Linked DNA regions of Ovis aries. The protein of the gene in region 1 purifies or fractionates together with the protein of each later gene. This does not show direct contact. Links are inferred from orthologs where the notes say so. Each region holds a gene or a part of one and is shown on either strand. Other genes may lie near its edges. The genes, in order: CHCHD4 and TOR1AIP1.

Region 1 (4,558 bases):
ATCCCAAGAAATTAAGGTCACATAGCTACTGAGGAAGAATCTGGATCTTTCCCCAGGTGGGCCTGACTCCAAAGCCTGTCACACCTTCCCATGACCCACCGAGCTGGCTGTGGGGCCCTGGGCAAGCACGTGCCCCTGCTGGGAAGCCCTCATCTGTAAGGTATGGTGGCGGTGGTCTGAGGGCACGCCTGTCTCCTGACACAGCCCAGGCCTCCCCTGGCAGACCCTGCATCTGGGGGACCACCTCTAGGTGCACCGCTTAAGGCTTCTCGGCCTCCCAAACAACTCTACACCAGGCAGGGTGTACTGGGGCTGTGGGTGACGAAAGCCCTGGCTTCTCAGGGGGTGTGGAAGGCAGAGAGGACGCTTGGGGACAGAGGAGGAGCCTGGAAGGGTGTAACAGAGCAGCGGAGAGTGGCTAGGACGCTCAACCAAAGCAAGAGGGAGGGAGTGCCCCGGCTGGCAGGGCTCCGAGCTGGCTCCAGACACTTTCACAGAGGAGCGAAGCCTGAGTCACCAGCTCCTTCTCCCAACACCCTGGTGGGAGGTGCCCCTCGGTTTGTTGAATGAATGTTTGGCTTAAATAGAAAGGTTCCTGAGAAAGGCTGGCTGCTGGCAGGAGGCCAGCAGCCTTTCCAGGGGCACCACCTTCAGCGAGGGGCTCTGCAACTAAACCCCTGCTAGGAGGACGAGCGCCCGGCCGTAGGGAAATGCCCCCCTCTGCCCGCCGCCCTGAAGTCTCCGCTCCCCACCTGGCCTGCGCCCCTGTATCATAACAGCCCCGGTCTTACATACCCCGCTGGGCACGCAGCTCACCGCCCGCCCCGTACAGCACGTCGCTGGACAGCTCCAGCAGGGCGGATCGGCTTCCCCACCGCCCCCGTGGACTGGCCACCTCTCTGCGGCCCCGTCCGGCCCTCCAAGTCCGCACACGTGACAACCCTGAAGGTCCAGGAGGGAACCGGGAACGAAGAGAAGGGCTACGCGGAGGCGCCCCGCACCAGAGGACCCCCGAGCCGGAGCCACGGGCCAGAGGCCCGGTCCCCAACACCGCGGGGCCCAAGGAGTCGGGCAGGGCTGAGCAAGACAGACGGCACAGCTGCCGGAAGGCGCGGACACGGGTGCGGGAGGGAGGCGGGCGAGTGGACGGGGGGGACCACCCGGCAGGGCGCCGCGACACGCCCGCGGGAAGAGGGGCCGGAGGACCGGGAGGCCTGGGTGTGGCCGGCGGACCAGGAGACACTCACGTTCGCGGCCATGGTGGGGCCCGGTCGCCGCCCGCCTCGCTCGGCCCAGCGCGGAGTAGGGTTTACGCCGCAGCACTGAGTCCGCGACCTCTCGCCCGCCCGAGAGCGGCAGACAGCGGCGCAACCCAGGGCCCGGGACGCGCCACAGAGCTGCCGCCCAGGGAGCCCGGGCTCTTTTGGCCCTCGCTCGCCGTGCCGCACTGCCTCCTGGGAAACGTAGTCCTGGGTCGGGTGCTTTCCGAAAGTTGCCACCCACTGACGCCTCACAGACGCGCCCGCGCACTGCAAGCCATTCTGGGAAATGTAGTTCCTACTGCCTGGGGCGTGGCCGCGAGGCGCGCAGCCTGCCGGGAAATGTAGTTACCGGCTGAGCGCGCCGAGCTGGAAGCGCCGAGGCAGGCGCGCGGCGGGCAGGCCTGGGGGGCGGGTCCGTGCGGGCCTCCGAGCCGCCCGCCCCGCCGCGGAGAGGTCACGGCGTGAGGCGACCGCCGCGAGGTCGGAGCGCCGGGCTGCATCATGGCCTACTGCCGGCAGGAAGGTAGGAGGGCGGGCTGCGTGGAGACGGCCTCCGAGGCCCTGCGACACGCGGTCCATGCAGCGCCCCCACTGAGGGCGCGGGGCACGAGTTCCCGGGAGGAGGGTGCGGGTTGGCGGCGGGGTCGCCAGCCCCACTTTTCGGATGAGAAAACCGAGGCCCACGGAGCAGTAAGGCTGTCCCGGGTCTCGGAGAGACTCGAACCTGGACCTCGGAGGGAACAGCACGTGGGGAGACTCGTAAACTGGGCCCGGGGGTTAGAGCGGCGCGAGCGCGCTGCCTGAGGCTGGTAACGGGAAATGTGCTGATTACTAATTATGTTGCTACGCCGCTCGCCACGCACCACGTGTTCCCGTTTGCACCGCCTCTAACTGACCCGGAAGGTCGCCCCTCGGTGGGCGCGACGCTGGCGGTGGGAGTGCCGCCGGCGGGCACGGGTCAGGCCCTGCGCCAGGAGCCTTGAGTGGCCTGTCTCGCAGCGACTTTCCTAAATCAGGCCCTGCTCTTATCCCAAGAGTAAACCAAGACCCCAGAGGTGACTTGGCTGAGCCACGCGGCGGGCTACTCGCGGAGCTGGGGTTGGAGCCCGCGGTCTGATTCCAGAGCTTCTCCGTCTGGTGCCCAGAGGACTCCAGGGAGCCCTCCGCTGGGAAGACATCCCGCAGAAAAAAACAAAAGTTGGTCCCCGCCTGCGGTCTCTCACCTAGGAAGTCTCCAGGCCGCGGTTCGCGGGCCTCCCCGCGCAACCACGAACTGTCCCTGAGCTGACACCCAGGCCCTCCAGGCCCAGTTGTCCAGTCTTGTAAAATGAGAAGTTAGTCTTCATTCATTCCGCAGATATTCATGAAGCACCTTCTCCATGCCGGGTGAGGGGGAGGGTGGATATCTGAGACTGAAGTTCCAGAGAGAAGTGGAAGTCCCAGGAAATTCTCTAGTGAATACTCCAGCTCCCTCAGTTATTTCAGGAAATCCTGAGCCCAGAGATGGAGGTGACCTGCCCAAGGTCATGCTTCAATTAGGAGAAGTGTGTCAAGCTTCAGCTCACGGCTCAGTTTAAAATACTAAGCCTTTGTGCCAGTGGCCTCCTCTGGTGGCTCAGATGCCAATGCAGGAGACTGGAGTTCAGTCACAGGGTGGGGAAGATCCCCTGGAGGAGGAAAGTGAAAGTGGCTCCGTCCTGTCCGACTCTTTGTGACCCCATGGACTATACAGTCCATGGAATTCTGATAAAGGGCAACCCACTCCAGCGTTCTCACCTGAAAAATCCCATGGACAGAGCAACAGTCCATGGGGTTGCAAAGAGCTGGACACGACTGAGTGACCAATTTCCCAGTACCCCATTCTGCCTCAGGAACCCTCCTTCCCTGGGCCGCAAAGCCACGACACAGTGATGTCTCTCTCTGAGAAGCAGGTCCCATTGATTGATACTGAACTCTGCCATGAGCAGAAGTCCTCTGCCCTCACCAGTTTGTTAGAGAGTAGGTCTCTAGTTTTTTATTTCATCGTCCTGAGTCTAATTTACTCCTTTGTGTAGCAGATTTTTTTTAGTCTTTTGAGTATAATGAGGCTATAATCCTCATTCTTGTGGGTTCCTAGGAGTCACATGTTATCTGGGAAGCAGAGGTAAGTGTTCAGACCCATATCTTTTCCTGGATCAAAGATCACTTTCTTTCTTTGGGGATAAGAATTAAAAGCACTCCCTTTAGGCCTTGCGTGGTTTTTATCTATCCACGCCACTGTCCCCTCAGTCCCGAACTTCTTGTTTTTCTATCCATGGATTCCTTATGCTTCCCATGGGACTTAGAGCACTGACCCCAGCTCCTTCCTGATTAAGGCCTGTGTGATTGAGGCCTGACCTGGCTCCTGCTGGTCTCTACGCACCTGTCATTGTGCAGCCAGGCCGGCCTCTGGCTATTCCCTTGGCCTGGTGCGTCCCTCCCCCGGCTCTTCTCACGGCTGCTTCGTCATCCTTTAGGGTTCAGTGCAGATGCCACCTCCTCAGTGAGGTCTTCCCTGCCTTCCTGTCTTCCACATCCTAAACTCTCGGAAATTCCCTGGTGTACTTTTGTCCTCTTCCGGCTTGTCTGCGTTGCAGCAGGCTGAGAGCATTAGATGGGCCACACTCCCCGCAGCGTCACCCAGTGGACCGGTACACACGGCTGCCCTCTCTTCTGAGGGAATCACTTGCCCATGCACTTGACTTCAGGGGTCCGCCCCCCAGCCCTGGGGTCAGTCAGGGCGTTAGGCAGCATGGACTCCGGCCGGCTCCCTGGCCCGGGGCCGCCCTGCCCCTGTCGCTGTCCTCCTTCCAGCTGGCCTCGCTCTTTCCTGTTCTGTCAGGAGACAGTCACCGAGCACCTGTGATGTGCCGGCCCTGACCACATGGCAGAGGCCGTTGGCACAGGTGGGTAGTCTGCCCCGTGGCATGGTGGAGGCAGTGGAGGGGGCAGGCTGGGTGTGGCAAGCGGTGATGTGTTCTAGGGGAAATGAGACCACCCGAGCAAGGTGTTATTTTTGTCCCTGTGACCTGCTTCATGGTGATAGCCATCTCTCCTCCATACTCAGCGGGGCCTGGGATCTTCTTGTCTGAGCTCAGAGCTCATTTCCCCACTCACTTTTCCAGCAAATACTGATTGCTCACTGTGTCGCAGGCACTGTTCTAGGCTCTGAGCTACTGCAGTGAATGGAACAGATGCACCCTTGCCCCCGAGGAGCTGACATGTCAGTCGAGGAGATGGGTGGTAAACAGATAAGTAATTGTGGGTGAGAGAAGGCG
Region 2 (4,563 bases), on another chromosome or scaffold:
AGCGGAAAAGGACAGCTTTACTGCTTTGCCAGGCAAAGGGAGACACCCCAGGCTTCTGCCTCGAAAAACTGTGTCCCATCCCCAGAGGACTTCATGAGTGTTTTTATAAGTGGGTCAAAGGTGGGGTGTCTGACAAGATAAGGGTGTGAGCAGGGTTTGCACTCCCTTACTCTCATCTCAGGTGGTCAGTCTCCTAATCCTGATGATTAATCTGGGCCTTTTAATCTTGCATCAGGTGAGTTCTTGGTTGTTCTTACTTTGATTAGCGACTGTTGGAACCTGCTCTTTGGAACTCAGAGAAGGTCATAATGGCTATCGTACTGCCTCCAAACAATGGCAAGACTCACAGGGGCCCACTCAGTTTCAATCTCTTCAGAAATGTGTAATTAAGGGGTTCCCTGGTGACTCAGTGGTAAAGAATTCGCCTGCCAATGCAGAACACTTGGGTTTGACCCCTGGGTAGGGAAGATTCCTCTAGAGAAGGAAATAGCAACCCATTCCAGTATTCTTGCCTGGGAAATCCCATGGACAGAAGAGCCTAGTGGGTTACAGTCCATAGGGTGGCAAAGAGAGTCAGACACGACTTAGGGGACGCTAAACAACAAAAAATTAGGTTTACCAAAACTTGGGAATTGAACTAGTAGTAGTTCTTACTACTCTTTAGGACAACATAAAAATAAACTACTCAGCAATGATGCTTTACAAAATAAATATAGAAATATTACTCTAGAAAATTTAAAAGACGGGCTAAAGAGGAAGAATGAAAAACGTGTAGATTCTCATAGATTTACTAAAAATAGAAGTAAATCCTTTGTGTGTTAAACAAAAAACAAACAAACTAGCTTTTACAATTGCATAGGCCTGCGTGGAAGTCATACAACTTAGCATATTTCCTTTGCCTTCCAAAGCATTCTTCTAGCTACTGGAGATACAGAAAGAACATAAACACTGAAGTATAACATGGTCCCTCAAATATATATGTAGGATCTGTGTATATATGTAGGATCTTTGTCTTCAGAAGTTTATAATCTTAAAAGAGATAAAACATGTATAGGGGTTACACGGTCTTGGTATTACTCCCAACAGTAACTCACATATCTTTAACATAATTTCCAAAATCATCAACACTTCTACTGTGTCAGCACTTCAGGCATCAGCAGGCAATGTGCAGTCTATTTCTCAGCTCTAAACTGAGAAAATCCACCTCCTCTTCATCATATCCACCAATGGTCTATTACCAACTATGTAATCCCATTATGATTCAAACCCCTTGGTTTTACCTCACAGGTGCGCTACCTGGAGCCAACATGAAACTCCATCTGTGACTCAGTGTTAGATGGGATAGGGGCAGCGTGGGACAGGATGCATTACCGGCGATGATTCATTCATCTGTGACTTTCCTAAAACTACACAATCACTTTGTCAGTAACCCTGTGGCCCATTTAGATGAAAACTAATGAAAGTCTTGCTTTGTCACGCTACTGCTTAACTACTGAGGTTACACTGACGGTCCCCAACATCCGAATTTCTGGCAGAGACCACCACACTAGAGAAAGAGTGATCAGTTCAAGTTTATCACACACTGGGAAGCTTCAGGTTCAGGATGACTGCCTTGACCCCGTTTCAGTGTAAACCATGTGGGTGGGATCTCAAATCAATTCATCAACTATGCTAGTCCTCAAACGGCCACTCACGAAATTCCCCTTCCTTTCTCCCCTCCTGGATAGTGACGGGGAAAGACTGGAAGGTTAGATGAGGACCAAATCTCACTGAAGGATTTCTGGCCTCGGAGTTAAAGGAGGAAATGGAAGTGGCTTTGGCAGAAACATCCCAGGGTAGAGAGAACCGATATGAAACCGATGTGAAACTGAACTCTGAGTGATTCAGTGTCCTGCCTTCTGCCTAACTCGCCGCCCCGAAGTGCAGGCCTGCAGAAAACGGGCAATCCTGACACCTCTAAATTGATGCCCAAGGAAGCACGCGGCTCCTCGACTGTGCTCAGGTCACTACGCACGACCGCCTTTCCTTCCGGCGCCCCCGCCCTGCCACTTTCCCGCCAGCCGACGGGGCGGCCCGGGGGTGGGGGCTCACGTCCAAACCGGAGAAGCTCAGAGGGGACGAGCTCAAGGCAGGCACACGCCCGCCCAGGACGCGCACACCCTTCGCGCGTACCCGCCCACGGCACTCCCTCCCTGACTCGCGGCTGACACTGTTACCTCCGACTGTCTCACCTTCGGATGAATGGGAGTCCCGTAATCCTCTTCTGGTCGTAACCGGAGAGGGTCGTATCGGAGGCGGCGGCGAGTGCAGCTGCTCCTGGAGGCGAGTAGCTCTCCGAGTCTGCATCTCCTCGGCTTCGTGGAGTCGGGGTTGCCTTCGCTGCCGAGACCGAAGGTAATAGGCGCTTTCTCTCACTTCCTCTTTCGCCGAATCGGGCCGGAACCCTTCTAGCGGAATCTGTCTTCCCACCCGGGCCTTTTCTTTGGCCGCCCGGGGCTCGAAGTCGCCGTACACTTCGGGCGGCTCTTCTGAGAACCTCACTTCCCGCCGGCCGTGGCGCGACGGCGTAGGAGTTCCGTACGCAGGCACGTCACTGCTGCCGCCATTTTGAGGGGCGAGCCGGGGCCTTCCCTCCCGTAGCGGAGCCCTGGGCGTGACGTACAGCGCCCATCCTTCCCTCTCCGGCTCCGCCCGCCGCCCCTCGCCTGCCATAGTTGTTGACGTAGCTTGAGTCGCTCGCGACGGTGTTTTGCGGTGCCCTTAAGAGTCTCCTGCCGTTGGTGGCGATCGTTTTTCGGGGTGTAGGGCGGTGGTGTCGGCGGTCAGGGAGGCAGTTGAGCGTCGCCGGGGCTGCCGCCTGCGTCGTCGCTGCTGTGCTGCAAACCGGCCCCTGGGCCCATGGTGTGCTCCGAGGGCTGTGGGAGAGGCAGTGCCTGTGCTGGGTCAGCTGCCGCGCGGGTCACTCCCGCCTCCTGGCTGAAGGCACCAAAGAGGAGGAGAAGAGCGAGGAGGCGTCGCTGTCCTCGGCCTTCGGGGAGGGAGGGAGGGAAGACGGAGAAGGGACAAGTGGCTGGGCAAATTGCCGGTCCTCAGTCCAGCTGCTCCTGGCAACTGTTGCCTGCTCGCAAGAGGCGCCCGGCCGGGCCCCCAGCACAGAGTCGCTGGGAAAGGCGGAGTGAAAGGCGGGTGGAGAAGTCTCGGTCCTCAGCCCCAGGCTGTTGCGCAGTTTTCCCGCAGCCTTTTTGATCGACTCTTGCCTTCGCCGTACCTTTCCAAGTGTCCCTTTGCAGGGCTGATAAGACATATTCGCAGGTGTCATCTTTCCCTGGAGAAAATTTTAGTTTGAAGTTCCTTGGGAAAGCAGTTTACCAGTTTTAGGTTTTAAAAGTCACTTGTTGAGTACAAAATCGGATCTACAGGCTTACTTGGGTGGATTTCCATTTACAAAATGTACGCAGCAAACAGTATTACTCCTGATTTCGTATAAAGGCTCTACTTCAGCAACACTGTTCAGAGACATTGTTAGTGCTGTGCTATGGGCAGTGAGAAGTGAACAAATACTTTGATTAAAGAGAGCACTGTAATTTTCAGTTGTGATCCATTATTTTCACTTTGCTTCTGAGCATGACTTGATATGCTGCGTGTGATACAGGATTTTTTTCTGCGTTTAGTTACTGAATAAGAAAACATGACAAAACCATTTGTTTCACTTCTGTGTACCGTATTTGCAGATGTGGAAAATCTGCAAATATCTAAACTTAGACACACTGAGGGAATGTTATTGAAAAATCGGATAATCTTGCCTTCACATACACACCCCCTTCTCGGACGATTTTCCATAATTGATTTTAGTGACTAGATTTTAAAATTTGCAATTTGGATAGCAGTTACAGTGAATGGGCCTGAAAATTTTGAAGTGAAGTGTAAGTCGCTCAGTCATGTCTGATTCTTTGGGACCCCATGGTGTACTGTCCCTGGAATTCTCCAGGCCAGAATACTAGAGTTAGTCTTTACCTTCTCCAGGGGATCTTCCCAATCCAGGGATCGAACCCAAGTCTCCCGCATTGCAGGCATATTCTTTACCAGCTGAGCCACAAAGGTGTGTACTCTTTCATGTATTTAAAATCACTTTAGAATGTTTTTGAGCAACTCATTGTCCAAACTGGGGGCACATATTTTATTTTAATGAAATTTAACGATGTCTTGTGTTTTCACTAATAGGCCATAAATTTGGCCACAGACACAAGTAATTACATGCTTTAGAATCACCTAGGTTTTTGCTTGATGGAAGCTCTTGTTTAGTTTTCTGTTTTTTTTTTTTTTGTTGTTGTTGTTTTTTAATTATATACAATACAGCCAAAGAAACAGAAGGAATAGCAACATGAGAGATCCTACTTTTTAAAGAATCTTTTATCTTAGGGAAAATTAAAAGCATGTTCTCCCTTGTCAGCCTGAGTTAGTATATTTGAAAAATTTGTGGGACATTTCTCTGACAAAATACCGCGAAGTGTTGATACTTGGTTAATATCTGGCTTTTACTTGTTTTAACTAGTGCTTAATAAG

What was found.
Region 2: the proteins of CHCHD4 (region 1) and TOR1AIP1 purify together in Homo sapiens (co-immunoprecipitation; 3 studies listed by BioGRID and IntAct, with this or other methods). This does not show direct contact. The link is inferred for Ovis aries from reciprocal best matches to the Homo sapiens genes CHCHD4 and TOR1AIP1.

What each region holds. Positions count from the first base shown.
Region 1 is NC_056072.1:58,006,676-58,011,233, forward strand, and holds the start of CHCHD4 (mitochondrial intermembrane space import and assembly protein 40), read left to right. Parts: upstream 1-1,616; 5' UTR 1,617-1,763; coding exon 1,764-1,785; intron 1,786-4,558.
Region 2 is NC_056065.1:60,482,554-60,487,116, reverse strand, and holds the start of TOR1AIP1 (torsin-1A-interacting protein 1), read right to left. Parts: upstream 2,932-4,563; 5' UTR 2,713-2,931; coding exon 2,232-2,712; exon of another isoform or gene 2,184-2,231; intron 1-2,183. UniProt on the Homo sapiens protein: Required for nuclear membrane integrity. Induces TOR1A and TOR1B ATPase activity and is required for their location on the nuclear membrane. Binds to A- and B-type lamins. Possible role in membrane attachment and assembly of the nuclear lamina.